4 linked regions of the Diceros bicornis minor genome follow. The protein of the gene in region 4 binds, or shares a complex with, the protein of the main gene of each other region. Links are inferred from orthologs where the notes say so. Each region holds a gene or a part of one and is shown on either strand. Other genes may lie near its edges.

Region 1 (7,799 bases), on a different chromosome or scaffold from region 4:
TATATGCAAGCCAAGTGCACAGAACAACAGGGGCTCGCTGGTGGCGCCAGGCCTTCCCTGCCCTGCACCTGTCTGCCTCCACCTGCTCGGATTGATCCTGTTGACTGTCGCCCTAGGGAACTAGGGGGTAGGCACGCTCCACAGACGCCTTTGTTCTACCTCCAGTCAGAGCCAGTGTCCCTGAGCTCGGGCTTAGTCATGCACCCTCAGGCGGAGCACAGAACTCACTCACTAGCTCCGTGTGTCCACGGGCAGGGACACCAGGGTGCGGCCAGCCCAAGCCTCAGGCTTTGGTTTCCATTCAATGAGAAAAGAGCTCAGCGGGCACCTCAAAGGCCTGTCCTCAAAACCCCAGCCCTCCCGGCTGGCACCCCCGCCCCTCCTCACAGCCTCCTTTCCAGGTCCTGCCCTGACCAGACCCGCCCCTCAGCCTCCCCAGCCCCTCCCAGGGCTCACAGTGACCCTTCTCTCTCCTTGCTTCTCCGGTCCCAAGTCAGCTCCCCGACTCCTCCTGGGAGTCAAGGGCCCCAAATTCAAGTCCCAGCTCTCCTAGTGGTCTGCTGTGTGATCTCCATCAGGTCCCTGAACCTCTCTGGTCTCTAATTCCTCCTCTGAACAAAATGGAGTTGTCCTAGCATAATCTGTGAGGGTCATTCAAGTTCTGGAGCACATGTGTGGTAGGACACCTTCTGCCCCACCCTCTCCTGGGACCTTGGTCAGGCACCCAAAGGGAACAGTGCAGGTCAGGGCTGGGCGGAGATAGTCCACGGGCAGGAAGTCCAGAGAAAAGACCAGAATGACTTAAAAACAGCCCCCAGAACAAAGTAGGGGGGAGGGAGAGACAGGGAATGTGTTAGGACCTTCCCTTCAGGGAGTTATTGTACGGAGCAGCCGCACCCTCTGACCCCTAAGAGGGGACTTGCAGAGGGCTGGCTGAGGAGAGGCATGTGGGCCCAGGACACGGATCCCCACGGGGGGCACTGGGGGACAGTACTTATTCTTGAAGTCTTCCACCAGGTCCTGCACGCCCCGCAGCTCCACCTCCAGGCGGCCCCCGTCCATCTGCAGCCCCTCGAGCTGCCTCCGCAGGCCAGCAATCTGGGCCTCAAAGATGCCCGGGAGGCAGCTGCCCTTGGCCGACTTCTGCTCCTGCAGCAGTGCCCACTTGGTCTCCAGCAGCTTGTTCTGCTGCTCCAGGAACCACACCTAGAAGGGAAATGGAAGAGGAGACGGTGTCATCCACAGCGGGGTTGGGAGGGTCTCTAGCCACCCAGCAGAGCCCACGCTCCCACTGGCTGTTCTCCCCCAGCCCGTGGCCCTCTCCTCCAGGAAGCCCACCCTGGACAAGCCTCTCCTCCAGGACTCTGTCTCAAGTGTCTTAGAGTGTGACCCAGGGGTCAGGTCGGCCTGCTCCACCGACGTGTGCGGTGCTCGTGCCGGGGCCTCCTCCCTCCTGTGCTCCCCATCCATCACAGGTGACCACCCCACTCCCTCTCTGAAGGGCTGCCCCCACCTGTCAGTGTCCTAGGCCTCACTCGGCCCCTCCCTTCAGGCTGGGACCTCATCTCGTCCTCCCTCAGTATCCTCTCTCCCCTTTCCTCCAATGGGCCTCTGGACAGGGCACTAGAACCAAGGCCATGCAAAATGAGCACCTAGTCTGTGCTCAGCCCTGGGCCCCAAAGCCCCCATGGAGCACCCAGTATGACTGGGGTGGGAAGCCAGCCTTCTCAGAACCAGCAACTCAGGGCAGCGGGACTTGGGGGCCGCAGATGGTGAGAGAGAGGAGCTCCACAGCAGGGGGGAGCCTGGGCAGGAAGGGCTTCAGAAGAGCCTGGAGTATATTCAGGGCCTACACGGTGAAGGAGAGGGGGATGTGGGGCCAGGAAGCAGAGAGAGACTGGAAGGCAGGGGAGGGGAAGCCTGGTCTACACTCCAGGGAGGAGGCACTGGCCAGAGAGGCCCCACTGGGCTAGCCCTTAGTTCCAGGCATAACCTCACCCCTACCACCAAAGAGAGGCTGGAGAACCACGTAGGTGTGGTGGTGTGGGCGTGGGGGGAGCCCCCTTCCACCTCCCTCCAGCCCTTTACTTCCATCATCTGCAGAATCTGAGGGGGAGGGGCGTCTCCTCAGCTGGGAAGCGCATGTCACCCCTACCGCATCTCTGACTCCAGCAGCCCCCTCTCACAGAAAGGTGCCCAGAGAGAGAACTCCTGGCCCGGCCTCTGGAGTGCCAACTCGATACCGGCAACAAAACCGGCCCAAGAACCGCAGCCGCCTCGCAGACACAGCCGGGGCAGCCAGCCGGACAGCCCCAGGCACACATTCTGGGAGGCAAAATCCCGGGATTGGGCAGCTTGCTGGAAGAGAGGGCTTGGAGACTGCGGGGGACAAAAGAGCCACAGGGTTCAGGGAGAGGGGGAAGGTCCCCGATATTGGCGGAAAGAGAGCCCGCACCAGTCCTCCCAGCGCCCGACCCGCGTGCAGCCAGGGCTGGGGTGGCTGCTGTGGCCTGGGGCGTGGCTCGGCAGGGCGCTGGCCGGCTCACCTTGTCGATGAAGGAGGCGAACTTGTTGTTGAGGGTCTTGATCTGCTCGTGCTCCTCTTGGCGCACCTGCTGGATGGAGGGGTCGATGTCCACCCGCAGCGGGGCCAGCAGGCTCTGATTGATGGTGACCTCGCGGATGCCGGCGCCCCCCGGGCCCGGGTAGGCGGAGCGCACGGCCACGCGCGGCCGCGAGGCGCCCAGGCCGTAGAGGCTGCTGCTGCCGAAGCCGCCGGGGCGCACGGAGCTCAGGCGCACCTGTGCGCCGCGCCCCGGGAAGGCGGCGGAGCGCGAGCTGAAGGCCTGGGAGCTGAAGTGGAGGGACATGCTGGCTGGACAGGGCTGGACGTGGCGGCGGGCGACAGGGGGCCGAACTCGCTGACCTCCGGGAGACTCGGCCGCTTTTATCCGCTAGGCGCTGGCGGATCGGCTGACACAGGTTGGGGCGGGGCTGGCCGCCGGCCACCGTTCTCTGCCCGCCGGCCCCTCCCGGGGCCCCGCTTCCGCCCCCGCGCCGCCCTCCTCGCGAGGCCCAGGCTTTCGGTCCAAGCCGGAACCGTCCAGAATGGGGAGGAAGGCGAAGCCCTCCAGACCCCCTAATGCAGGCTGACGCAGAGAGCGGTGGGAGACAGCGGTCCGGGCCGATCTGAAACGGTATCAGTCAGGGAAGGCTTCCTGGAGGAGGCTTGGGGAAGGGGTGAAGAATATCCAGATTTCTGAGGCCAGAGCAGAGAGATCAAGCGGTAAACGATTGGGGGAAGGAGTGGACAAAAAGTTCTAGTCCAGGAGTCAGTCCAGCCCCGCTCCCCAGGCTATTGAAAGCCAGAAAGGCATTCCCCGATGCTCTCCCTCCCCTCAAGTGCAGCTCCTCCTTGAGAGTTCAGCTCAGTTCTTGAGTAACCTGACCCCAGGGTGGGCCTGTCCTGGCTGATTTCCCTGACCGCTTGTCCCTACACCTCATTTCCATATAGAAACTAGGCCGAGTGGGGCATGACCCCATTTCTTGGCCCTCTCCTCCTGTTCCAATAGGCATCTGAAGCCCAGAGGCAGGTGGGAATGGTTACCCCGGGTGTATGCTTCCCCCATCCCCAATCACGTTCCTGTCCACTTATTCTGTTTTGTCCCTGTAGAGGAAGAGGACACCTGTGTGTATTCGGGACACTTTGTGGATGTCTGTACACTTCTGTGTGTACACACCTGCAGGCCACTGGGCTTCCCTATGTGCACACCTGTGTGCATGTCTGTGAACGTTCTTATACAAGTGGGCGTCTGTCTTCAGGGGAGGGGGGTCTGTGGATGCACACTTTCACACTTCGTGTGCATGTCTGTGCATGTGCTTGCATTTACACTCAAATACTGCCCCCTCCCCCCATTTTCCTGTTGTAAGGTCCTCAGCTCTCACCGCCTCCCCCACCTGAAGCCACCACCAAACAATCCCCAGTGGATTCAAACCCAGCCCAAGAGGGAGATCAACATTGTGCTGGGACAGGGAACACCAGACAGAGACAGCTGCGCTGCCCTCACTTCCTAGGAGCTTCCAGTCTCACATGCCACACCCTCTGCAGGTCCCTGCCCCGTTTCCCCAGACCCAGCTCACTAGAGGGGCCACCTAAGAGCCTTTGTAAAAGAGAGCTGCCAGGCCTGTTGTCACCCTTAGCCCAGCTCCAGCCCCGCCCAATGAGCTGGCCAGGTTGTCACCACAGAACAAGCCTTTGGGGGCGTCCGGGTGGAGGAGGGTGGGAATGGAATGCCCTTCCTGGTTTCCATCTGTTAGACCGGAAGGCCTTCCGGAGGAGGCTACATGCAGCAGCCCCTTCTCGGGCATCTCAGCAGACACCCACACCCCTCCCTGCCCTCTCCTCCATGGGGGTGTCAGGACAGCTTAGGGCAGGGGTGGAGGGATACCCAGGGAAACCTTCAGTCATGTCTGCTGCAGGGTGTGTGTGTGTGTGTGTGTGTGTGTGTGTGTGTGTGTGAGAGAGAGAGAGAGAGAGAGAGAGAGAGAGAGAGAGAGAGAGAGAAAGAGAGAGAAAGAGAGCGTGAGAGAAGGGGGTGGGGAGAGTTAACCTGGAATTCTCAGCTGTAGCTTGAAGAGCGTCAAGATTGCCTGGCCCTGAGATATTTGCAGTCATGGGGGTCCCACTCCTCCCCCACCCCCAACCCCCAAGCAAGCAAAAGAGACCCAATGTTTAATTTCCACAGACATATACACGTATACACACACTCACACATACACTCACACACACACATGCACACCACATCACTCTCGCACACATACATGCTCACATACACACATATACACACATACACACAACACTATATCACACATACACAGACACACACACCACATCACTCACATGCACGCACATACATACCACATCTCACACACACACACACACACACACACACACTCTCTCTCTCTACAACTTCCTTACCCCTCAGGGGTCCTCCTCAACTCTTTTTCCCACTACAGTACCTCCCACCCCAGCCCCCTACCCCTCCACCCCCCAACCCCACCTACATTTTGCTGCTGGCCCCTCCCACCCCCTCCCACCTGCAGCCCCCCACAGGATTTGCTATACCCCACCCACACCAGGCATTCCTCCTACCCCTCCCCTTCTCCTCTAGAGCCTGGCCTGAGAAATCTTTGGCAGGGCGCTGGTGACCTGCCTTGTGATGCTGGACAGGTCACTGTCCCTCTCTGGGCCGTAGTTTCTTGACAAGAGATGAAACCTCCGGGTTCCTCAGGTAGAGGGAGCTGGGAGGACATTGCAAAGGAGAAAAGGTCTATGGCTTTTCAGACCCAGGCTTCAGCCTCTCCGTGAGCAACACTTCCCCGTTCCAGGGCCTCTCCAGTATCCACCCCTCGGTCCTTCATCCCCTCCCTGAAGCATTCCTGGGACTCCGGCCCTTGCCAGCCTCCTCCTGTCTCTCCATTCACAGGCCAGCACCCTGAGCCCACTTGGTGCCAGGCCGCGTGCACAGACACCCTCTGGAAACCTTCACGAGAAGCTGTCAACACCCAGAGGCCGAGGGTCAAGTTCCTGCCCCGCGAGAGTGCACAGTCCAGTGGTTCATTAAACTCAGTCTCCCCCCGCCACAGCCTGGCCTCACAGAGACCCCTTAGGAGATTCTGGGCAGAATCTTGAGATGAGTTAATCTCATAAAGCTTCGCCTACCCCAAAGGCTCACTCCCATCTCCATAGTGTTCTGTGACACACACACACATACACACACACACCAAGCACATACTCGCTTGTGCTCCCACTCCCTGCCTGGTTTTCCCCTGCTCCCTCTGGACCCAGCTCCGTACAAACAAGCAGACATGTCCTCAGCCCGGCTCGGCTTCACTAAACCTACCCAGACACCACCATCCTGTGGCCCTTGCAGGTGGAATTGGCTGTTGCTCTCCCGTGAGGGGGGAGACATTCTTTCTGGCTCCCTGCTGCACTTTCAGAACCATTACTCTGACCAGTGTCCTCCCCCAAAAACACATCCTCTGATTCCTAGAGAAAAAACAAAAGGCATGATTTGTTTTCTTGATCTTGGAATTCGAACGCTTGTAATCGTAACAAAAGCCATTTCACACCTCTGCGGGGAATGTAATACTTTAAAAGAAAGTCAAATGATAAAAGACAAGGAAGCAACATATATGACAACCAACAGGCTACTTTCCTGAATAGAAGAATGCATAAGAAAGACAAGCAATACAACAGAAACGTGGGCAACAGACATGGATAGTATGAGCTACAGCTACGTAGTGCCTACTTTCCGTGGGCCTGGCTAGGTTCCAAGCTCTTTGCAGCCAACAACCCATTTAGTTCTCACGATACCCCTGCAGCATAGTGTGGGTTATTACCTCCATTTTAAGAGAGGAAACTGAGGCATAACGAATTTAAGTAAATGGCCCAAAGTCGCATAGCTAGTCTGTAGAAAAGCCAGGATTTGAACCTTGACAGTTTGAACCACTAGATTCCTTACAAAAAGAAGAAAAGAAATTAAGAAAATCAAATAGCAAATATGAAAAAAAAATGCTCAACCTCACTCAAAGAAATATGACCAGAATAGCAAGGAAAAGCCATTTTCACCTGTCAGATGGTCAAAGACTAACAGTGTTTGTGGGTGTGTGGGTAACAGAAAGTTCTGTCCTTTTTTCGTGGGGTCATCGATTGGCATGTCCTCTTCCCTTCTTGTGTTCCTATGGCTGGACTAATCATAAAATTTGGAAAATACCAGATTAACAGGAGAAAAACCCAGTTTAATCTGTACGTACTGGAGATCATAAAGAAACGATGCTCGGAGAGTGAACAAAGCAGGCAGTATATATATCTTTTACATAAAGAAATGGTAAATTTGTGAAGAATTGACAGGACAAAGAAACTTAGATTTGAGGTATGTAGTTAGTGAGGAATTTAAGCCGAGTTTAGGCTTGAGGTGGTAAATTAGCAAGGCTTGTTTAGGCAGGATTCTCGGCCCTGAATTCCCTAGCTCTGGTGATAAGGATGCAGGGAGAACACCTTTCACATTGGAGATTCATTTTCTGCTTTCAGGGGATCAGAGACAGGAGGGTCAGAATGCCCTTTTTGCTCCTCAAGTAACTTTAATTCAAAATAATCAAAATGCCATTGTGGGGTATTTTGGGGTGGCCTTCCCTGGGCCCCAAGAATAGCTATCAAAATTAAAGACATGTGTCCTTACCTCAATAAACAAAACAAATTAAATGAATCCACTTGTCCTTGACCAAGTACCTCCACTGCCAGGAACTCATTCTACAGATGCTCTCACCAAAAGTGCACACGGACGTGTGGTCCCTGCTGCCATAATTTTATGTTAGTGAAAAACAGGAAACAACATATATGCCCATCAATGGGAAGTAATTAGATGAATTAAGCTACATACGTTCGGAGGAATGCTACTTACTGAAAAGAATAAAATCCTTTATATACTGATTGAGTTTTTACCTTTATGTGTTGATTGCAGAAATCACTGCAGTTTTTGAAAAGCCTGTGAGGCTCATGCCGTCCAGCGATACTGCCATCCAGCCATCTACCCCCTCCCCTGTGGCCGGTCCCTGCTGGCCCACAGTCAGCTCCCGACCTCCTGACCACCCCCTCACGCTCCCCAGGGACTCTGGCCCTGGTTCCTGGTGCCCCTCTCCACCCTGGCACCCTCATGCTCCTGCAGATGACCTGCCCAGCATCTGCGCCTGATCCTCCCTTAGCTCCTCAAGTCCAGTGACTTTCACTTCCATCCTTT
Region 2 (7,248 bases), on a different chromosome or scaffold from region 4:
GGCAGGATGGCCCGCAGTCCCGACTCAACAAAGGATTCCCGCTCCTCCGGACACCTTCTCCCACAGAGAGGGTCCTGGCCTCGCCCCGCCCCTGGGGGGACGAGCGGTGGGGGGTGGGCCTCTCCCTGAGGTAACCTGAGGAGGTACTGAGGAGGAAAGGCAGTGTCCGCCAGGGCAGCAAGGACGCCGGGAGCCGGAGGCTGGGCAGCCAGCGGGGAGTGGCTCCTGGCTACTGCAGCTGCAGGACGCAGCGAGGGCTCCTTGTCCCTCGGCGCTGCCTGCCACAGGGCCACTGAAGACCCAGCAGAGGAGGTGCCGGAGGTCCCCAGGGGCTCACCCAGCTGTCCAGCCCTGCCCCTTGCCGTGCAGTCGCCGCTCCCTTGCAGCCCTCCTGGCTTGTCCCCGGGCCCACTGTCCTGGTTCTGAGATGGTAGGGAGGTAGCCTGCACGTGGCCACCAGGAGCCTCTCCTCCTGCTCCCAGAGACTCCGATTGCTCCTGGCCGCTCAGCTCCTCCACCTTCAGCTTCTTGCTCTCCGAGGGGAGCTGGTCCTCCGCAAGCTGCGGCTCCCCAGAGCTACCACTGGGCTGCCTCGGGATGGCTGGGGCCCGCTGACAGGTCCTTGCGTCCCCACCACTGCGGGTGCCTCCTTCCAGTTTGGGATCTGGTGAAACCAGCCTGGGAGCCTCTAGGTCACTTCCTTTGAGGAGACCAGGTGGTGGGGGCAGCTGACACCCTAGCTCCAGCCTCCCATTTGTAGGAATCAGAGGGCTCTTGCTGCCCAAACAGGGGGGATCTCTGCAGCTGAGAGTAGGGTGCGAGATGGCCCTGTTCACCCCAGGCTGGTCACTGCCTCCTGCTTTGGCCACCGTCTCCCTCTGCCTGGGGGGCTCAGTCACCAAGAAGCCCTCTGGAGCTGGCAGACTTCCCCGAGGCCCTGGCTTGGCCCCCACAGAAATGTCCCCATGGACAGGGGTCCTCCCATCCTGGGCCAGCGCTGTGCCCTTGCCCCCTGCCTCTTCCTGCAAAGGAAGGTCCAATCCTGTCCCACTGCCTGCTGTCACCTCCCTCGCCTTCTTGCCTCCGGAGTGGCTGGGTCTCATTTTCTGGTAGATTCTCTTGAACGTCTCGCTCCCGTACACCTGCCACTTCTCCTGGGAGAACATCTTCAGCTTCCTCTGGCTGCATTTCTTACTGGCTGCTCTGCCCTGACCGGCCACCCCCTCCCCTACAGCAGTTCTCTTTCCACCCGGGTCATCTACAGGAGCAGGGGTGTCTCCAGCGGGGGGACACGGCAGGTCCTCCACTGCGGCCTGTCTGACCAGGGCCCGGGGGTGACCGCTGGGGACGCCCACCAGTCGGGCAGGGGCAGGCCTGGGACTCATAGGCTTCTGCCTCCTGGGGAAGGCGTCCTGGGGGTCCGGCGGCTCCTGCCACATCCTGGTGCCCTCGACGAAGGGCAGCGAGTTGCTTCTGGTGACGGGCACACACTCCACGGTGGTGGAGAGCTGAGTGGGGACCGAGTGAAAGAAGAGGGGCCGTGTCTTGTCCAGGGGGCTGAAGCTGGAGCGGGCGGAGCAGAGGGTGGCCTGCCTCCTCCGGCCGGGCTCCAGGGCCCGGAGGTCGAAGTGGAAGGAGTCCTTGTAGGTGTAAGGCATGGGCAGGTCGATGCTGCCCTGCTTGGACAGGACCGTCTTACGGGGCCGCACGTGGTCCAGCTGGGGGTCGTCCACCACGGCCTGGTTGTGCGAGATGAGCCTGGCGATGCGCTCCTCCAGCTGCTTCTTCTCCAGCTCCAAGCTGGGCCTCCGCCCCGCCGGCTGGGCCCTGGCTTCCCCCGGCCCCGGGGCGCCCTCCCCCTCGGACTCAGCGCTGTGCTCGGACAGACTGTGCAGGGGGCTGGCGGGGGCCAGCGGCTGCTCCGCACTGTCCGAACGGGACAGGTAGCCCGAGTCGGTGCTCTCACACTTCCTCAGCCGGCCCTCCGAGGCCTTGGGGTCCCCGGGCTTCTCTGAGGACGTGGCCTGCTGCAGGGAGCACCCGCTGGCAGTCGGCGGCTTCTGTTCCAGGAGCTTACGCCGCGGCTGTGCGCCGGCCAGCGGGAGCCCGGGGGGCGCTGTGTGGGTGCGGGCCAAAGGGGCCTCGCTGTCAGCAAATGTGGACCCTGGACAGGCAACCGCTTCCAACCTCAGATCCAGGTTCTCTGCCACAGGAAGATGTGTGGTGGGCACTGGGCAGAGTCCAGTGCCCTGGGCGGCTGGAGAAAGGGGTCTTTCTGATTGGGCCCCGTCGCCCCCTCTCTGGCTCCAGCTGTCCCCCCTGCCATCTGCTCTGGAGGTCCCTCCAGCCTTGTCCCCCTCCTCCAGGAGGCTGCCTCCACCGCCATCGGACTCCGAGGACAGCCGAGAGTTGCTGAGGTGCGTCTGGGTGCGCCTGTGCTTATACAGGTTGCTCTGGGTCTTGAAGGCGATGCCGCAGGTGGCACACGGGAAGGGCCTCTCACCGGTGTGGGACCGGATGTGCTTCTCCAGAACGCTGGGCTTCAGGCAGTCCCGGCCGCAGTGCGGGCACAGGTGCTTGCCGGCGTTCCGCACCTTGCCTGGGCTGCCCAGCGTGGGCCCCAGGCCCGGCGACAGGACAGGCAGAGTGCCCACGATGTTCACGGTGAGCGCTGGGGCCGCTGGCTTCCCCATCTGGGTGGGGCCAGGTCCTTCAGGCTGCAGCAGGGGGCTGAGAATGAAGGGCACGCTGCCCCCGTCCAGGCTGCCTGTCACGAGGGGGGCCCGCGGCTGGAGGCCCCCGGGAGGCACTGTGTGGTACAGTGGGATGGGCAGGGCCTTCAGGAACACGGCGGGGGCCAGGCCCTGCTCTGGCGGCAGGATGACAGGGCCCAAGGTCAGGTGAGGTGAGGCCTGCCCAGCTGGGGCCCCTGGGGGGCCAGGAGCAGGAGCTGGCTGGTCCCTGGCAGGTGAGGCAGCGCGGGTGAGTTCTGGCACCTCCATCCCACATCATCTGGGCAGCCCAGGATGCCAGGCAACCTGTGGGCAACAACCAGACTTTACCATGCATATTTCTTGTCTCTCATCATACCCTAAACTCTTCCCTGCCCCCACCAGGCATTTCATCACTCCACTGAAGCCTGACAACAATCCCCCAAGAAAAGTGCCCTTGTCTCCATGTGAGGAAAGGAGAAACTGAGGCTCAGAGAGTGGAAGTGACTTGTCATGCAGCCAATACACGGCAGAGCAGGATTTGGACCCAGGTCTGTCTGAATCCTGCCTCTTATTTAACACGTCCAAAGGGAACTCTTGAGTCTGGCCTTCTACACAGGTGCATGGAAGCCTTGTCACGGTCATCCCCTGACACCCAGAACAGTTCCCATGCGGAGGAGACACCCAGAAAATGTGCTGACTTCATGAAAAAGAAAAGTCGTGTAGCTCAGCTCAGTGAAGTCCCCAAAGTTCACCATGATTCCAGGCACTAGGACCAGTCCCTTTCGTTATCAGGGGCTGGGTTTCCAGATCTGTAAAATGGGCAGAGAATCAGCACCTCCCCAGGTCCCTTCCCACTCAGGAGTTCTGAGTCTCTGCTGTTGGATGAGGGCAATAAAGAAGAAAACTGACCTGAGGGGAAGCTTACCAGATTTAGCAAATGAAAATACAGGAGTCCCAGCTAAACTTGAACTTCAGATAAATAATACTTAATTCTTTAGTATAAGTATGTCCCAAATCTTGCATGGGTCATGCTTATACTAAAAAATTGTGCATTACTTACCTGATATCCACATGTAACTGGGCACCCTGTATTTTATCTGGCCACCCTACCAGGAAAAAGAGCACTTCCCCAGTCTCAGGGTCAGGCTTGCTCTCTGCTCCAAGGTGGGGCTTCCAAAACACCCCCAGATCCAGCTGGAACACAGTTGGCTCCCTCTCAGCCAGGGGAACAGCAGGGCAAATTTTTGGCAAGGGAGCAAGAGACTCAACCATGCTCTCTGAACCATGGGACAGAAAGCCAGATGCAATGGGAAAATGAGAGATAGGCCCATGGCTAGAGGATTGGGGGTCTCCAGATCCTTCTTCCTCAGACACCCATCCCCCAGGAGCTCCATGAGCACACTTCCACCATCCCCCAACTCAGCTCCTCAAGAAAAACAAATCCAAGTTCCAGCCTTCAGCAGCAAGACTGTTTAAGCAGGGTGCAGTGGAAGTAGTGGCATGCTGGCGCCAGCTCAGACCAGCTCATACTGGCTCGTACCAGCTCACGCTGGCTTAATGAGAGCTGATTGTCAAATTTTCAGGAATTTTGCAAGCCAGTTGTTAAACATGACCATAATTAAAAGTTAAATTATATAAACTTACAGTTAAATAACTTATATTAAAAACCAAAGTATTACAACTGTATACTCATATGTAAAAGAATGAAGTTGAACCCCTACCTCACACCATACACAAAAATTAACTCAAAATTGTTGAGCAAGAGCTAAATGTAAGAGCTAAAACTACAAAACTCTTAGAAGAAAACATAGGAATAAATCATCATGACCTTGGATTTAGCAATGGATTCTTAGATATGACACCAAAAGCACAAGCAATTTAAAAAAAAAGATAAATTGGACTGCTTCAAAATTAAAAACTTTTGTGTATCAAAAGACATTATCAGAAAAGTGAAAAAACTCACAGACTGGGAGGAAATATTTTCAAATCATGTACCTGATATATCCGGAATATATAAAGAACACTTATAACTCAATAACAAAAAAACAAACAATTCAATTAAAAAATGAGCAAAGGACTTGAATAGACATTTCTCCAAGGAAGATATACAAATGGCCAAAAGTACATGTAAAGATACTCAATATCATTAGTCATTACAAAATGTAAACCAAAGCCACAATGAGATACGACTTCACATCAACTAGCATGGCTAGAGTAATAATAAGACTGAACTGAAAATAACCAGTGTTTTTGAGTACATGGAGAAATTGGAACCTTTAAACACTGCTAGTGGGAATATAAAATGGTGCAGCCACTGTGGAAAACAGTTTGGCAGCTTCTCAAAAAGTTAAACATAGAACCACCATGTGACCCAGCAATTCCACTCCTAAGTATACACCTTTCAAAAGAATTGAAAATAGGCGTTCAAATAAAAACTTGTACATAGTTTATTATTATTAATAGCTGCACAATTCAAAATAGTCAAAAGGTGGAAACAACCCATAAGTTCATCAACTGATGAATGGATAAACAAAATGTAGTGTATCCGTACAATGGGATATGATTCAGCCATGACAAGCAATGAAGCACTGACACATGATACAACATGGATGAACCTTGAAAACATTACACTAAATGAAAGAAGCCCTACTCAAAAGGTTACATATTCAATAATTCCATTTTTATGAAAAATCCAGAATAGGCAAATTTATAGACACAGAAAACAGATTATACTGGTTGCCATGGGAGGAGAAGGAGAATGAGGAGTGACTGCTTAATTGGGTACAGGGCTTCCTTTTGGAGTGATGAAAATGTTCTGGAACTAGATAGAGGTGGTGGTGGCACAACATTATGGGTATACTAAATGCCACTGAATCGTTCACTTTAAAAGTTAAGGTAGTTAAAATGGTGAATTTAATGATATTTAATGAATTTTACCTCAATAAAAAAGGTTCTAAATACTCAAAGCTCATCACTTACTAATTGTTTTATTACATCCTACCATGATCAGCGCTCTTGAGGTTATTTATGCTGATTGCGTTGGTACAGTGGAAATACTATGTAATGGTGTGGCACTCCACAGCTCCATCTCTTTCCAACTTCGGGGTCAGTAAGGTCAAGTTCATAGTTTGGAACTGGCCATGGTGAGAATATTACACCACAGGACTTGGTCAGTCCTGTTTTTCAATCCTGAAACATCTCTCTCACTCTCTGTTCCTCATAAACCCGTCTAACATTATGGAGCTCACAGCATCATGCCTCCTGCCTCAAAAAATTTGAGACCTTATAATTTTTTAAAGAAAGATTTAAAGACAGAAATTTTTGGAAATTAGTAGGTGGCTACTAGAATTCCTCAGCGCTGATGTAAGGGGAAGACGATGGCTGACCTCAAGGCGCTGCATCCTCTCTGCTAGCTGAGGGATTTCAAGATGCTTCCCAGGGGAATCGTCAGACCTGAGTTCCTGTCCCTGCTTACCCAGCTTGCTGGTGAATATCCCTGAGACTCTGTTCCCTCAGCTCTGAGAACATGTCACTCCAGTGGAGCTACTGGGAGAATCAGATGAAACAGTAACTGAGTGTAGTGTCAGGCACGGAGTAAGTGCTGCACTCATTTGAGTTTTCAATGATGCGCCATCATATTTTGAGCTGTTAACTAGCGATTCCTCCTCGTCCTATCTTTCTTCCTACCCCTCTTCTCTTCCGCATCAGTCAGCGCAGCAGGCTCCCTTCACCGCCTCTGGGAAGTGATGCTGTCTCAGATTGGGTTCACAAAATAAGGATGTCATAACAGGGATTTTATTTGGGAGGTGACCCCAGGAAACACTCGTAGAGGAGTGGGAAAGGCGAGGTGATGGAAGCTGTCAAGTGTGTCATTGAGCAAGTCCCCGCTGTGGGCAGCAGGAGCTCAGCTGGGCTGAGGAAGGCGAAGGGATCATATAGAAGACATGCCTCAGTTACCCGACCCGGGGGTGAGGCAGCTGTCCTGATCGAGGGTCGCTCTTGGGAGCAATGATATGCTGGCGTGTCCAGCTGGCCAAGTGGATGCACCGAGCCAGCTCTGGTGGCCCCAGAAAGCCGTCAGGCACAGCAGTGCTGCCCGCAGCTGGCTCCAAAATGGTAAATGCGGAGGGACATAGCCGGGCAGGGCTTCTGTTGGAGCTGCTGTGGCAGAAACAGGGTACAGACTCCTGAATTCCAAAGCCTAAGCCCTAAGGGGAAATCTCAGGAGGATGAGCCAGTTTTCCCAATCCTCGGGGGATAGTCCCCGGTTGGGAGGATGTGAGAGGCAGGAGAGTCAGGACGGAGGGGAGGAGAGCCTCCAGCTTTGGCTTCAGTGGGCAGTTGGGTGGAGGGGTAGCCTGGACTCCATTCCCTAGAGCCACAGGGAGAGGCCCCAGGACACAGAGCAGCCACAGCCCACGGCACATGTCCAGGTCCAGGGGAGGGACAGAGGAAGCCCTCAGGATTCCTGCACCCGAAGCCGGGCAGCCCCAGAATAAATTCCAGAGAACCCAAGAGGGGCCCAGAGTGACCA
Region 3 (8,012 bases), on a different chromosome or scaffold from region 4:
ACAATGATGAGTCAAAACCTTTAATAGTAAACTCTTCATACAAGTGCCTAATACCTTAAAATTCAAATATTTTTCACCAAAGAAGCAAAATAGAATGGATACTAACTTAGATGTGGTAAAGGGAAACCATGACCTAGCTTCTAAATTCAGCACTCCATAGGTACAAACGCTCAGAAAACGATGAACAAAGAGAATTCTTACTATCACTGTAATTTATGAGCTTTTAATGAGTCACACTCTACTTTTCAAATTCTAACATAATTACCTCTGCTCTGAACATCGCAGGATTCTAGTTAAAGATACATAGTTCCCTTCAACTGTCCCTTTGCTGACAGTTGGCACAGATTTTCTGCAAGCCACGTATAAGGCACATGCTAACCAATGAAGATCATTTCCCTGTAAAATAAAAGAAAATTGATTTTTACCTAATGAGCTATAGATATTTCAATATAAAAAAATTCTTACGTTTAAATTGAAAGTGTTATTTATATGTTTGTGGGAAACTGTATTTTCAGTGATGGCTGATCCCATGTTTCTTCTCATAAGGTAACATTGATGTTGTTCCACTGAGAGGGAGGAGTCTGTGTTTCCTTACTTTGAACTGTCTCAGCCAATAGCACAGGTGGAAGTGATACCACGTAACTTGCAAGATCATAAAAGGCAATACAGATTCCACCTGGCTCTGTCTCTCAGGACATGTGCCTTGGCAGTGCCAACATGGGAGCAGAACACCCTGGGCAAACTACTTAACAGTCACAGAGGCTCAATTTTCTTATCTGAGGACTGTGAGAATTAAATGAGTGACAAGTATAAAGCATAGAAAATACAAGAAATCAAAAGATACAATTCGATAACCAGTATTCTGTGTTAAATATCCATGAGCTTTATTTTCCATTGTACACTTCCATGAGCCTGACATCCCACAATATCTTACAGAATACCTGACTACAAGCTCCACAAGGGCAGGAATTTTTACATTTTGTTCACTGCTCTATTCCCAGCACCTACAAAAGTGGCAAAGAATAGGTGATTGTGAAATATTCACTAAATGAATAAATATTCATTCATTTATTGAGTAAACTGAGCTAAGAATCTGAGATCAAAGTCTTAAAAAAGTTGAGTAATCAAACATGTGTTTTCAGAAATAATTTACTAACCATCTATTATTTGTCACTTGCTTATATAACACGGGACTTCACAGGACTTAACCTCTGTGAATTGAAATACGTCAACTATATGGTGATAACGCTTGTTCTATCTAATCTAGATAGAACCTCAGGATTATCCTGAGGGTAAAATAAGAGCTTATTTTGAGGCAATTACACCCATCACCAAAAAAAAAGTCTTTCTCTCTGCCTGACCACAGGAACCACTGAGAAATAAATAGGAACATGGCCTTTTCAGCCTGATCACCTAAGTATATGATAGAGCTTTGTAAATTCTAAAGCACTGTCTATATGAGCGCTTTATGTGCCAGAAACTACACACTACCTGATTTAACCTTCGGAATGGTTCTGTGAGGTAGGTACAAATATCTCAAATTTACACAGCACAAAAGTGAGTTTTGGAGTGGTTAAGTAAATTGTCCAGAGTCACCTAGGTCTGTCAGGTTCTAAAGCCACTGTATTACTAGCTTTTCTTTCTTTCTCTTTTTTTGTAGATATAACAATGGGGAGAAGAAATCGAATTAAAATTCTATTGATGCAAGAATAAATAAAAAAAATAAGCCGAGTGAGTGACACGTTGGCAAAAACACCCTGTTACAGTCAAATAATACCTTGGGTTAGGCCTTCTCATTCTGAGCCTATTTGCCCTACTCTTTCCCCAAACTGTAAAACAACCTAAGAAAATCACGCGGCCTCCTGTTTAAATGCCACCCACACGGGCAGTCAAACAGCTAATAAACAAGACAGACTTCCGCGTCCCTTCCCATTGGCCCATGACGGGGAGGTGCCTACGGAGTGGAGCCTCACTGGCTAGAATGGCTATTTTTCTCATCTGCAGGCCCGCCCGAAGAAAGGGGCACAACACGCCTAAATCACAGCGACTCTGCGAGTCCTGTGCAAGGCCTGGGGCCACCAAAAGCCCCCCAAAGTCGTCGCGGCCTCGTGACAAAGCGGGGCGTGTGTCTATATCCAGCTGGGCAGAAAGTCCATTTCCTTCGCCCTGGGGAAGATTCGTCTTTGTTTACACCTCCGTAAACACAGCCCGCATCTTAACGCGTTTACGCAAACCGATGCCAAGCCCGGACAAAGGCCATTTGGCGCCGTCGGAAAGAAGTGAAGGAGAAGCCCACAAACCCGGCGCGAACACGGGCAGGTCCCCCGCCCTTCCCCGGGCGGTCCTGACACCCGCACCTGTCTGTCCTGCCAAAACGGTGGCTGTATTTTTGTCATTGTGACCCCGGCACGACCTCAGCCCCGCGCTGCTACTTTAGGGCAAGAGGTGACCCCGCTCGGAACCCGGCAGGGCAGAGCCGCGAGGCGGGTTCACCGTCGGGGCCGCTCAGAGCTCTGCCAGAGCCGGGTTCCCAGGCGCAGGGGGCTCCCACCCCTCTCCAGGGGACCCGGGGAGCCGCGCCCGCCGGAGGACCCCGCGGGCGCCGAGCGGCCAGAGGCGAGGCCCCTCCCCGCCGCGGGGCGCGCCCACTAGGCCCGGAGAGGCGCCCGTCTGCCCCCGGGCGCACCTCCAGCGTGTAGCTCTCGCTCATGCTCCGGTAGCTGTCCCAGGCCTCGGCCCGCGCCGCCTCGTCCATGTTGAGGCGGCTGCACAGCTCGTCGAACCGCTGCTGGGTCTGAGGGGCTGGCGACCGGGCCGGCTGCGCGGCGTCCTCCGCCTCGCCGTCGTCGTCCTCCTCCTCATCCGAGGCTGCCGCCGCCGGAGGAGGAGGCGGGGGTGGCGGCGACTGGTCGCCTCCCGATGGCATAGCGCACCCCGGGACGGCCGGTCCTCAGGTGAGCTGAGGGCCCGGGCCCGCAGCCATTCAAACCGCGAAGCACCCGCCTGTCGGCCGCCCGCACAGCCACTGCGCCGCCCCCAACGGCGCTGGACCTCACTTAGGCACCCGTAGTTCTGAGCACGGCCTGCTGGGAAATGTAGTCCAGGCCGGAGGCTCGCAGGGGTCAAAAATCATCTTTAAAAAATCAGCTCGCGTACTCTTTTTTTCGCTGAAGTGAAAGCAGCTTCTGTACATGTTAAGTGCTGCCTCTTCATCGTGAGAGCATCCATCAGGGCTATGCTGAAGACAAAACATCCAAGGAACATTGACATGTGAAGGTTTAGTGTCCACGGTGTCACCAGAAATAACATTCATCGCCTGAGTGTCCTTATGTAAAAAATAAGGATAATAGAAAGGACCTATATGCCTAAGTTCAAATTTAGGCTTCACTCCTAATTTATAGTTCTTTGCTATGTTTTAATTTTATCTGAGCCTTTCAAATAATTATTGGATTTTTTTTAAAGTGGTAATTCTTTTTTTCCCCATGGGGCAAATTTACGTTCACTATAAGTGACATATTCATACTACCCTCAGTCACCCAATTGGCTTAATTTTGTTCCTTTCTTTTTATTTTTCTTTCTCCTTTTGTATCTATAGTGAACTTGAATCACTATTTCAAATCTTCTTTGATTTATAAATGGGTAGATTATAAAACATTTTCATGCTTGAGGAGGTGTAGGCACTGCTGTTTTGCTGTGGTGTCGCTTCTCTCTCTCTTCACTGACCCTTTGAACCAGCCACCGTGCTGTGAGGAAGCCCAGGTCACTTGGAGAAGCCTATTGTCAAAGATAAATAAAGCCAGACATTAGTAAAAGGGGTGAAAACAGATTTTATTCAGCCACTACTAACAGTGAGGGAAAGAACTCAGATCCATTCTGATTTGGCAGAGGCAACTGGGTGATTTAAAGAGAGAATGAAGGAGTAGGGGTGGGGAGAGTGCAGAGCTCAAGCAAAAAACTACAAAGAGTTGGTGAGTGTAAATGTGACTAGGCCAGCTGTGTCTGCTAGCTGGCAATTTGTTGAAGTTAGTTCTCACCAAGTGCACAGGACCGGGGGCCCCTGGTCCTCAGCCCAGCCATGTTGGATGAGCCAGATTGGAAGCAGATCTTCCAGCCTTCCATCAAGCTGTCCCAGCTAATGCTGTATGGAGCAGAGATGAACCTTCCCACTGATCCCCGTCCAATTTGTGGGCAAAGGAAATTATTATTATTGTTTCAAGTCATGAAGTTTTAGGATGGCTTGTTATGCAGCAGTAAATAATCAAACACCTGTTAAGTGTAAGACATGTATTTATCAATTATCATGAAAGAAAAAAAATCACTTAATAATTGGGTGTTTTTCTTGGTAATTTTTTATGCCTCCACCAGTCTCTCCAATAGATTAAATTTGTTTAACCTTAAAAAGCTAAAATTACTTATGTATACACGTGGAATACCACTCAGCCATAAGAAACGATGAAATCCAGCCATTTGTGACAACATGGATGGACATCGAGGGTTTTATGCTAAGTGAACTAAGTCAGAGGGAGAATGATCTCACTCATAAGTAGAAGATAAAAGCAACAAACAATCACAAAGAGACAAAGATTGGATTGGTGGTTACCAGAGGGGAAGGGAGGAGGGAGGAGAGCGAAAGGGATGACTAGGCACATGTGTGTGGAGATGGGTTGTAATTAGTTTTTGGGTGGTGAACATGATGTAATCTATGCAGAAATAGAAGTATAATGATGTACACCTGAAATTTATACAATGTTATAAACCAATGTTACAAACCAATGTTACCACAATAAAAAAAATTAAAAAGCTAAAATTACTTAAGAATTGACAACATTCCTTCAAAAAAAGAGATAGGTTTTAAGTCAGAGCCACTTTTTGTGTGTGTGTGTGTGAGGAAGATCAACCCTGAGCTAACATCCATGCTAATCCTCCTCTTTTTGCTGAGGAAGACCGGCTCTGAGCTAACATCTATTGCCAGTCCTCCTCCTTTTTTTTCTTCCCCAAAGCCCCAGTAGATAGTTGTACGTCATAGTTGCACATCCTTCTAGTTGCTGTATGTGGGACGCAGCCTCAGCATGGCCGGAGAAGCGGTGCGTGGGTGCGCGCCCGGGATCCGAACCTGGGCCGCCAGTAGCAGAGTGCACGCACTTAACCGCTAAGCCACAGGGCCGGCCCAGAGCCACTTTTGATGATGGAGATTAACTGACTTGGACATAATTTTTGAACAAGTTCTTAAGAAAAGAGTTGAAATTAGATTCTTAGACTATGCTTAACAAACACTTATTTCTCTTATCTTATCTCCTTCTCCCAGAAGTTCGAGTGGCCATCTTAAAACACAAATCTGATCACCTCTTGCCTCCGCTAAAATGGTTTCCTGCTGCTCTTCTCAGGAAGTCAACACCCTGACAGCCTACAGGTTGCCTGTCTCCGTGCTCTCTCCCACACTTCCCCCGCATCTTCAATCACTCCTTCCATCAGTGAAGTACCACCTGAGATGTCAGTTTCTCAGACAGCCCTATTAAATATTCTCATGGCACTTATTATAATCATAATGAATTATTTACGTGTTTATGTTTCATGTCTATCATCCTCACTATGCTTTAAGATCTATGAGAGGAGCGACTGTCTCTCTTTAGTTCCATTCTGTGACCTTAGAGCCTACTTATGGTGCCCGGCATGTTATTGACTCACCATTATATTTATTGAATGAATGACTGCTTATGATAAGTAAGATATATCTTCTTCTTATTAGAGCCTTAGATTTTGTGCATGTAAAATCCTTACTCATGTTGTGATCTGATAGCCCAATAGAATGTCTGACCGTAAATGACAGTCGCCTAAAAATAAACTTTGTTTACATTATATTTATCACTTAAAATACATGAGAACTGTGAAACTTTGCCAAAATTTTTTATATAACAAAACACACAGGTCTTCAAACTTTTTGATCATGTCTCCCTAAAAGATATAACCTTCTAGAATATCTTAGTGTTGACATCTAATTTTTTTTTTTTTTTTTTTTTTGCTGAGGAAGATTCACCCTGAGCTAACATCTGTGCCAGTCTTCCTCTATTTTGTATGTGGGTCGCTGCCACAGCGTGGCCGCTGAAAAGTGGTGTAGGTCCACACCTGGAACCACACCCGGGCTGCCAAAGCAGAGCATGTCAAACTTAACTACTAGGCCATCGGGCCAGCCCCGAGATCTAAAATGTTTCATTAAAAGTTTGATCAGGTGCAAAGGATGTAATATCCAGCATGTAACTATAAACCTTTTAAAATAAAACCTTTTAAAATAAACTTTAAATATATCCAATGGACTCTAAATATCATGATTTGATACTCACTGTCATCCAATTTTAAAAATACATGAACAAAACTTCTCTTTAACAATTGGAAATTTTCTATCATTCCATTTTCTCTTTCCCCTCATATTCCCGTTCCTACTATCCCAACAAAATGTTATCCTAATATGTTTTGTGCTTGAAAGTCCTTTATTGATCTCTTTCAGATCTCCTTTCAGCAAAAATGTACAGACAAATTAATTTGTTTTAGTATCCTTCTGTTCATTCTTTTATGTCAGATTCATTGAGGTCTAATTTGCATGCAGTAAAATTCACTCTTTTATATGTACAGTTCTATGAATTTTGACAAATACATACAGTCACGTCCACCACAAACAAGAACACTTCCGTCATCCTGAAAGTTTCCTTGTGCCCCTTTGTAGAAAAACCAACCTCACATAGCCCCTGGTAACCACTAATCAGTTTTCCGTCCCCATAGTTTTGCCTGTTTTCCCAAATGTCATAGAAACATAATCATAAAATATGTAGCCTTTGAGTCCGGCTTCTTTGAATGTAGCAAATTGCCTTTCAGATTCATCCAAGTTGTTGCATGTGTCAGTAGTTCATTCTTTTTTATTGATAAGTAGTCTTCTGTTGTATGAATGTACCAACGTTTCTTTATCCATTCACCAGTTGAAGACATCTTGGTTGTTTCCAGTTTTTGGTGATTATGAGAAAATCTACTGTAACATTTATGTATATGTTTTCGTGTGACACGAGTTTTCATTACTCTTGGGTAAATACCTAGGAGTATGTTATGGACTGCATGTGTCCCCCCAAAATTCATATGTTAAAGCTCTAACCCCCAATGTGATTGTATTCTGAGATAGGGCTTTTAGTAGGTAATTAAGGTTAAATGAGGTCGTAAGTGCAGGGCCCTAGTCCATAGGATTGGTGGCCTTATAAGAAGGTGCCCAGGCAGACTAAGACAGAGTGGTATTACTGCACTGCATAGTAAATGTTAAACTTTATAAGAAACTGCCAATTTTTTTGCTAAAGTGGCTCTATCATTTTGCATTCCCACCTACTTTGAAATTTAAATTTATTTTCTGTGATCATGAAGCTATAAGTGTTAAATTCCTTTCAGATTGAGTGATCAGATGGCTTTTATTGAGACTATGGCTTGAACTGTGTTTGCAGTTTGTTTATGTGTCTCCCATAAACATTCAAAAAAAAGAAAAAAAAAAGTGCTGCTGCCAGCAAAAACTGTTCATTTGTTTTGAATTTCCACTTGAGGCTGCTATCTACTCAGGCGGGCTCAGGCCAATTTATATTTCACCTGGTATGTGAAGAGTCTCTTGTTGAGACCTCAGTTAACTGGCATTTTATTTGTGATTAATTCCAGTCAGGTGTTTGTGTCCCATATAGACTGATACCACGAGCCCAGCAGGTCTACCCCGCAAACCAGATTTGCTTATTGCGAATGAGGATCTGCCTGCCAAAAATTCAATCCACCGTATAAACTACAATTAGCTAAATTTAGTGCCCAGGGAAGCCTTGGCAATCTGGAATAAACACAGCCTGCCCTTTTAGCTCTTTCTGTCATTATAAACAATTATTGCCTTATGATGCCTACAAGGTGTGTTGGAGGGGATATTGGGCTACATACCATCAACTGCTCTGTACTGTTGAGTTTTTAAACACTTTGTCTATTTTTTTCTTCTTTCTTGCATTCAG
Region 4 (8,010 bases):
AAGCTGAAGAAACTGAGATACAATGTTTGCCAAAGGAAAGTACTACAGATGACACAAAAAATTATCATAGGAATCTAAGATCATGTAATATTTCTTTAATAATAGTTCTAGTTCCATAGGTCTTTATATGTTATGCCAATTTGTATCAGAGTCTAATGACAGAAAAGGCAACAATTTCTAAATTGGTGGCATATACTTCTTTAAGATTTTTTGATGTAAGGCCATTAAAAAAGTATACAAACCACTAAATGAAAGTGAAGGCAACAGAAAAATTCAACTTTTCACAACGAAAAAATTAGCACAATCTTAAAAATAATTTAGAAAATGGTGTTGTAAAAGACATGTTGCAGACCTGCATTCTATTACCCAAGAGTATGTCAATTCATAATTCTTTCTAAAGTATGAGATTAAAACTAATTTTCAGTGTATATGTAAATTCTGCATTTTATCACATGGGTATGTTTCTTCAACACTATCTTCTGAAAATAGGTCATTTAAAGAGAACGATTTTTATTCTAAAAGTTTCATTCAACTTTACTTTGGATTGGATACACATGAAGTGTGCCCTCAATGCATAAAAATCACAGTGGATAGCAGCAAAGGACTTGGGGAGGTATGGATGAAGGAGAATCTGATAATTCACATTGTGATTATTTTGCACATGATACAAGATATTCACACTTCTAAAACCTCAAGACTTTCTTTTTTAAAGAACCAAAAATAAACTCAAGACACCTTGCTGACACTTCCCTACCCCTAAACAAATTGATTACTTTTTTCACCTAAAACTGAACCAGCTATGGCAGCAAAAGATTTTGATAGCAATGAAAGTTTGTAAACTATATTTCAATCTCTTTTTCTTGAACTGAAAGTGCAAGATACAGGGTTCTCCTAGTCTTTCAGTAATGCTTCTCCTGTCAATAATCTATTTTGTTTGGCAAAGGCAGTTTTTGAAATAAGTCTATTGGAATACTGACATAAAACAAAACGACACAGGTCTTGCAAAAGAACGCCACCTACACAAATTGTGATACTTGATTGGACAGTCTGATAGGGTAAATTGCAGATCCAGGCAATTTGACAGGGTAAATTGCAGATCCAACTTTGAATAACAAAAAGCTCCATTTTCAGAGTCTTTGGTTGAATGTTTAATTAGATCACCAAATTGTCCCCCCACATCTGGCTGTTCATAAAAGCAAAACCTACCATTTGAGTGCTCAATTCTAGTGTGAAGTGTGTTACCATGGGAAGGAAAGCTCAAGCTTAAACTATAACTGTCATTAGAACTATCCTGAACAAGAAAAGAACCATCTGGAACATTTACTAGATTCCCTTCACCCTCTGAGCATGTAATTGGTCCCCAGTACCATCCTTATTCCGCAAGTTTTTTCAGCTCCTCTGTAAGGCTTGTTACAACCATAAGACCACTACTTTCCATTGAATCATAAACTCTTGCAACCTCAGGAGCAGAGTCAGGATCGAAATTCAAATAATAGCGCATACTTTCAGACACATGGACATCTGTGCCGGTGAGTCCACTGCAGTTCGTTTGCATTTGATAATTCTGCATTAGAGGTAGCAATGGTGAACGTGGAGGGACATCATCACGACTCGCTCTTGGGCTTTGCAATGCGACGCCTGTGGTGCCAATGAACAAGCCATTCACAGACTGATCCACAAAGATCTCTGGGGCAACGACTATGTCCTGGCCTACTTGATTTTCATTTTTGGAGAAAGAGTTCCCTCCCACTTGAGAAAGTACTGCAGAAACTTCCATGGGAGAAGAACTGTCCAGACAATAGCTAGGCGATCCTTCTAAAGGATGCATCCCCTCATCTACAGGCACAGAATACCAAACGCAGTCTTGAGGCATAAGTCCAATAACTACAGGCATGTGTTCATTGAGGTGAAGATGCAAGTCTCCATTTTGAGATTCTGAACTCTTCAATGAGTTATTTTGTTCTTAGCACGCAGTTTCAGGCTGAAGACTGAAAATCTTTTTGAACATTATTCCGTGCTGGACTTGGATTGGAAGAATAAACCTAGGCTTTGACTCTCACCTCCTCCATCTTGATACACGTATCCTCAGCGTTTGTAAGTCAAGAGGTCAAGGGGTAGGACTATAGGGATGATTGCCAAGGGAAGTGGATCTTATTGGTCTTTGAGCTCTCACATCTTTAAAGACTATTATTGGTGCTGAGGAGAGGAAAACGTATCCTCTGGCAGAGCTCCTGGAGGGTGGGCTCCCCTTGCCTTTCAGCTTTTGTTCTGCAGAAAGCCGCCTTTTTAGTGTACCCATTAGGCTTCCCTCTTAATCTATGTTTTCCACCTTTTTCATCTTCACTGTTGATATCACAGCTGGCCATATCTTTACCATAGCAGCTACCAAATAAGGAATCACGTTTTCCAAACTCACTGGCTAGTGATGGTTGTCATACTACCCTGAAATCAGTTTCTCCTTTACTTTTATTCAGGTTCAAAGATTTCTGGAAGGTTTTAAGACTAATTTTCTTCATTATGACTGGTTACCTAACCCAGGGGGCTCAATTTCTCTCTGGAATATTATCCCCAAACATCTGGAGAGCCTGTGGGGCTACATCTCTGTATTTTTCCAGCTTCCTTGAGCCTTTGGAGCCATTTTCCAGCCGCAGAGTGGCGGTGGCGGCCAGAGCGTGTCTCCCGCTCCCTCGCCCAGCGCTAGCGCCGCTGGTGCGAAATGTGTGTTGTTTTCAGCCGCTCAATTTGTGGTAACTTGTTACAAAGTAACAGAAAACGAAGACACCGTTAGTGGTGTTATTAGGATGGCAAAGTTTGGAATTGGGATTGAAGTGTGGCTGATTTATTTCAGATGATTCTGAATTTAGAATTGCTGCACATAAAAGGGAGAAAAAAAATAACCAGAAATCAGCGTTCAAGAGAACACACAAAAGCACCTCCTTCGATGTCCAAGTCAGGCCTTCTTCGTCACCCTCCTCCAGCCTGAAGTGACTGTTCCCTCCCCAGATATTTATAGACAGTAATATATTTCATCACCTAAATACTACTCTTCTGTTTTATGCTCTGGTAGCTTTTTGTGTCTACCTAACTGGGCTTCAAGTTCCTTAAGGGCAAAGATCTTGTCTTGGTGACTTTTGTGTCCGCCACAGTGCTTTGCACTCTAGTAAATGTTACCTGACTGGCCAAAGAAGATGTGTTTGTCAGATGAGTAAGTCCCTCAAACTAAACCCTCCAGGTGCTATTTCTGGAAGGTACCTGGAGGGGGTTCTTGAGACTCCAACAGGGGTTTTTCTTTATTGAACCACTGTGAGCCCCACTATCCAGCTTTCCACCCAGCAAAATGTATCGTAACATCCTCTGACTCTTCTGTCAGGATAAGGAACCTTAGACCACAAGTATCAATGGGCCAAATAGCCTGCCTGACTGGGAAAACGACCTGGCATCTAACAACAAAAAGAGTTTTACTTAATTAGCTAGCACCCACTAATCAGTAAGGCCTAAACATCTGCCAGTGGAATCTGAGAAGTCTGTTCTAAAAGTTGAAAAGCTGAGTTTACTCACCACAGATGGGGGCATTTGTGGGGGGGGGGGAGGACTTTTACCAGTTAAATCAAATTAAGAGAATAGATTGGTGCCCAATTTCCAGGAGAGTTTGTAGAGTGAACTTGGTCTTTTTCACTGCATGTGACTCTTCATTATGAATGTGATGGAGGAAATTATCAATAGTATGAATTTTCTCTGTGCTCATATCCATAATGAAAGTTTGTGAACTGTCTCAAAGAAATTGAAGCAGAACTTGAGGACTTAGGTTTTTTTTTTTTTTTAATGTAGTCAAATGACTAGGTAGTGGAAATGTTTTGAAGAAATTCACTGACCTGTTTTCTTAGATCAAGGACTTTTTGAAATAAAAAGGCTCTGAGAGATCCAACTTGTTGCCTCCATTGGTTTATAATAATTTCTTGCTGATGTGGCAAGCTACCCTAAATCTTTTCTGGAATAAGAGATGAGATGTAAATTAATACCAATGTGACAAAATGTCTGAATAGTGGATTTGAAACTGCAGGAAGATCATAAGAGCTCATTTCTTCAAGGAAGTGGAGGCAATTCAGCCTCCATCTAGATATGAGGTTTAAGTGAATTCATTTATTATTGTTGAACTGCTTTGAGCTAAACGAAATCACTGATTGTGATGATTTGCAAAGCTATGTGGTGGAAATGGAGTCACAACTCAGAAGAGTCATGGATCTTGACGAATATGAATCATCTTTAACATCTTTATGGCTGCCTTTGGAGTGCAAACTCTCAGCATGTTTCTGAGTTATGAAGCATTTGCCCTCATACTGTGAGCAGACCTATCCTGAATACCAAAATGATTTTGAAATTTCGGGCTATATGGCCACGATGTGAGATGTTTGGGTTCATTTGGCCCTGTGAAAGCATCAATCTTCTTTGTTAAAGTGCTTAAACCAATGGCTGGAGTCAGAATTAAGACGTGTTCAAATTGGGACCCTCCCCTATCGTTTTGAACAACAGTTCAGTCTTTGAAATATAACCATTTAAATTTACTTGCTCAGAATTGATCCATTAAACTTGTAACTATCCATTTTGGTACGAATAAAGTTGATTAAACTTTTTCAGATGTCTTTGGCATTTATATCAAAATCTTCACCATTGGCTAGCTAATAGACTAGACCACTTTGGCAAAAATGCATCCGTCACGTGTACGGGTTTCTTTTTACCCTTCCGCTTCACTAGTAAAAAACTTGGACGCTCCTCGCCCAGACAGTGCCCCAACCGCGAGTGCGGTTGACAGGGTTGCTCGCATGCGCTTTCGACAGAATCGTGTTTGTCGCAATGGGCCCCGCGCGGAAGGTTACAAAAGAGCTAGGGGATTCGAGTACACTCATTTTGTGGGTAGAGCTGGTTACCGCGCTACTTCCGCGCCGGTACTAGATTGTAACAGAAAGTAGTTCCGGTCCGTGTTGTTTCGGCCGAGGAGCCGTCGCCGCCATTTCAAGACCGTGAGAGGTAGATGGGCAACTAGAGTTCTAAGGTTCGAAGCCTGTAACTGCTGCCGCCGCTTAAGCCTGCCAAAACACTGGTACGGCTGCTGCCCTCCTCCTCCTACCTCTAGAAACATTCTTGCCAGTAGTGGCGGCAACAGGACTCAATTACCCCCCTCTTGTTTTTCCTCAAGAAGCTCCAGATGGCGTCTTCCGTGGGCAACGTGGCCGACAGCACAGGTACCGGTGTCCGTTCTACCTTAGCTGACGCCGCGTTGGGGTCTCGCGCCGTCCTCTACCTCTCCTCATTCCCTTCCTTCACCCTAGCCATCCCCATTACAGCAGTGGCATTGCGGAGCTTTTCGTTCTCTACCGGCGTCTGGTCGGGTTTTCCGCTGTCGTCCGCTCCTCAGACATTTCCTCTTGCTTGCTTGCTTGCTTTTGAATTCCATAAATTTTCCAGCTTTCTACTCTCTCGGGACGTTTCTACCCCACGTGCGCGCCTAGGATGTCTCGGAATGGACTGCAGTGGAATTCCTGTCCTTTGACTCGCCTTCGCAGCTGTTTTCCCCCTAATTCAGCTCATCGCCCCCTCCTCTTCCCCTGCCACATCCCCCTTTAGGCCTTTCTCCGTAGCTAGATCCGGTCCTTCGCTGTCAGTCTGGGGCGGGGGTGCCATTCCGATGGAAGCGTATCCTCACTGTGCATCACCCAAGGACGAGCAAAAGCTCCTCGGTGGGCTCTACGTAACCTCGAGAAGAGGGGATATTGAGAGCACCCCGCTGGGCAGCGCCTTTCGGGTGTTCCTTCGGTTGAGCGGCCCCGGTTTAGATTGGAAATTTCCAGGGGTTCCTTTCGCCATCGCCCAATTCCACCCGCTGCCCCCAGCCTGGATTTCCCACCCTGTGCTCCCTCCCTTCCCGGGGGAACCACACCCTTTCCTTCGCGAGGTTGCCAGCCCTGCAGTCCACTTCCTATCCTTGGGGAGAAGCCACCCTGGGGGCTTGGTGCTTTGGCGTTGACCACCCTGCCCGCCGAAGTCTCGCTTTGTGTTACTTTCTCCCTGTGTTCTTCCGCCACCGCTTCTGGGGCTTCCATCCCCATTCCTTAGCTCAGTAGCTCTTTATTCATAGGGTGTGTATTTTTTGGTTTCCATCCTTGCTTGAAGAGTTTGTAAAGCAACTGGAGTGTAGCTGCACAAGTGCAAGGCGGTTGCCCTTTTAGACAATTCAGTCGACAGCATTTGGTACTAAAAATAAGAAAACAACCAAATTACAGGAGCGTCCCTCAGCTGCCTTTCCATATTGAGGCTATTTGGGGCGGGAGGGGTGGGGGTGGGATTGGGCTGCGGTTCTAAGGTTTCCCACGAGGTTATTTTTTTGTTGTCGTTGTTTCTCAGTTGAGATGTGTCAAGGGTTTTATTTATTGTTTTTGGACATTGTGCAGTAATAGGTGAATCTTCAATCGTATCTTATCCATGATTGTAGACAGTGGGATTAATAATTAGTCAGTGGTCGCCTCCCGCCCAGGGACTTTTAAAGATTTAAGATTCTGTACTAGCTTGCCCTTTTCTAGGTGTATTATTTTATTTGAGGAAGCTGTCATTTAAAGTGTTAAAAATAGCGGATAAGCGGCTTTGAAAAGTTGATAAAATGTGTTAAAATAAGGAGCTAGGAAGTTCTAGAGACTTGTCTAAAATGTAATTTTGTAGTTTCTATTAGAGATAGAACCCCTCCCGGATTTGGATGCAAGTCTCTCTGGCTCTTGTGTTAGTCAGCTGTGCATTCTGTCAGGAAATTTACTTTGCTTTCCTGAGCATACAGATCACTCGCCAGCTCTCATAATTGGGGAGCTAGGCTCGGATTTCAGTTTGTCACTGTGACCTTGGTAGGATTTAAGTAATTTGTACATGGTTTCCCATTCCAACCGTCTAGTGAAAGTGCTATGGCCAAATTCCCAGTAATGTATCATTGTTTAAGTATTTACAATTGAGACTTAGTTTGTTGTTGTTCTTTTTCCCCTCTCTGAGCTTTACCCATATCCTTTAAGTATCTGAATTAAGTTACTTACAGCAAAGTGTTTTCATTTATTATTCATTCTGTTGCACATTATCAAATGGTTTTATGTTTTAGCATTTTCCCGTTATTTTTTTTAAGTCATTGCAGTTGTAGGTAACTGCTTGGTTTATGTAGGGTTGTTTGCAATGTCTTAATCCTTTAGACAATGTCAGTGCTCTCTGGAAAATGCTGGTGTCAAACCGTCGTGGGTGGGATTTAGTTAATTTGGTCTCATGAGTTTGGGATGGTAGAGGAGCTGTATAATCTTGGGTTTTTATTTAAAATGTTTGATGACCCCTTTAAATATTTTGGCTCTTGACAGATGAATTCATCTTGTTTGTCAGCTGTTTTAAAAATAGCACCTTGACTTTTAGTTCTTTTTTCCTTTTTGCTTGTTTCTAGTGTCGCCCTTAATTTAATTTTAAAAACTGAAGTTGTGAAATATACAAAAACATCAATATAATTTTAAGAGTTAAAAACTCATGGTGTCCCAGGTTAAGAGAGAGATTGTTGCCAGTACCCTACCCCCCACAAATCCAACCTAAAACATGGGACAAAGTATTAAATTTCCCAGTAGATTATTTGTGACCTTGTAAATCACGTTTTATATTTTGTTTCTTTATGTTACTTAAGGTATAAGGAATAATGTTTAGTGAATCTTTAGATACTACCTCTGGATTTATAATTTGAAGGTACAAAGTATTTTTGGTCATAAAATGTAATCTCATTTGGAAGTAAATATTTCTATCGAGTCTGGAAAAGAAAGTTAATGGGTGAATTCTAAAAATGCCAATTCTGCACCTGGTGTTAACTTGGGGGTATAAGTAATGTGCAGAACACTCTAGTGCTTTACATAGTTTCAAGCCTTTTCATCTTTAAGTTTAATATACCATATTTTTACATTTTTTTGTTTGCATTTCTAACTTTTTGTTTTCCCCCCTCCTTCCCTCAAA

Evidence for each region.
Region 1: the proteins of OGT (region 4) and KRT7 are in contact, whole or in part, in a crystal structure (PDB 4XIF), measured with the Homo sapiens proteins. The link is inferred for Diceros bicornis minor from reciprocal best matches to the Homo sapiens genes OGT and KRT7. Residues at the interface, in NP_858058.1 of Homo sapiens: His506, His508, His509, Asn567, His568, Pro569, Tyr642, Thr643, Lys644, Gln849, Phe878, Val905, Ala906, Pro907; in NP_005547.3 of Homo sapiens: Val9, Phe10, Thr11, Ser12, Arg13, Ser14, Ala15.
Region 2: the proteins of OGT (region 4) and ZNF831 are in contact, whole or in part, in a crystal structure (PDB 8FUF), measured with the Homo sapiens proteins. The link is inferred for Diceros bicornis minor from reciprocal best matches to the Homo sapiens genes OGT and ZNF831. Residues at the interface, in NP_858058.1 of Homo sapiens: Phe723, Ile734, Met779, Ile787, Ile790, Asn791, Arg792, Gly793, Leu808, Ala809, Thr831, Arg832, Ser833, Gln834, Tyr835, Gly836, Leu837, Pro838, Glu839, Arg877; in NP_001371283.1 of Homo sapiens: Phe937, Ser938, Pro939, Lys940, Tyr941, Leu942, Leu943, Arg944, Leu945, Pro946.
Region 3: the proteins of OGT (region 4) and RBL2 are in contact, whole or in part, in a crystal structure (PDB 4XI9), measured with the Homo sapiens proteins. The link is inferred for Diceros bicornis minor from reciprocal best matches to the Homo sapiens genes OGT and RBL2. Residues at the interface, in NP_858058.1 of Homo sapiens: His506, His508, His509, Asn567, His568, Pro569, Tyr642, Thr643, Lys644, Gln849, Phe878, Val905, Ala906; in NP_001310537.1 of Homo sapiens: Thr417, Pro418, Val419, Ser420, Thr421, Ala422.

Annotation. Positions count from the first base shown.
Region 1 is NC_080756.1:17,875,840-17,883,638, forward strand, and holds the start of KRT7 (keratin, type II cytoskeletal 7), read right to left. Parts: upstream 3,008-7,799; 5' UTR 2,871-3,007; coding exon 2,547-2,870; intron 1,207-2,546; coding exon 995-1,206; intron 1-994.
Region 2 is NC_080758.1:4,509,538-4,516,785, forward strand, and holds the start of ZNF831 (zinc finger protein 831), read right to left. Parts: upstream 3,003-7,248; coding exon 1-3,002.
Region 3 is NC_080771.1:6,627,193-6,635,204, reverse strand, and holds the start of RBL2 (retinoblastoma-like protein 2), read right to left. Parts: upstream 3,015-8,012; 5' UTR 2,927-3,014; coding exon 2,687-2,926; intron 397-2,686; coding exon 266-396; intron 1-265. UniProt on the Homo sapiens protein: Key regulator of entry into cell division. Directly involved in heterochromatin formation by maintaining overall chromatin structure and, in particular, that of constitutive heterochromatin by stabilizing histone methylation.
Region 4 is NC_080781.1:64,766,695-64,774,704, forward strand, and holds the start of OGT (UDP-N-acetylglucosamine--peptide N-acetylglucosaminyltransferase 110 kDa subunit), read left to right. Parts: upstream 1-4,998; 5' UTR 4,999-5,098; exon of another isoform or gene 5,099-5,194; 5' UTR 5,195-5,203; coding exon 5,204-5,240; intron 5,241-8,010. UniProt on the Homo sapiens protein: Catalyzes the transfer of a single N-acetylglucosamine from UDP-GlcNAc to a serine or threonine residue in cytoplasmic and nuclear proteins resulting in their modification with a beta-linked N-acetylglucosamine (O-GlcNAc).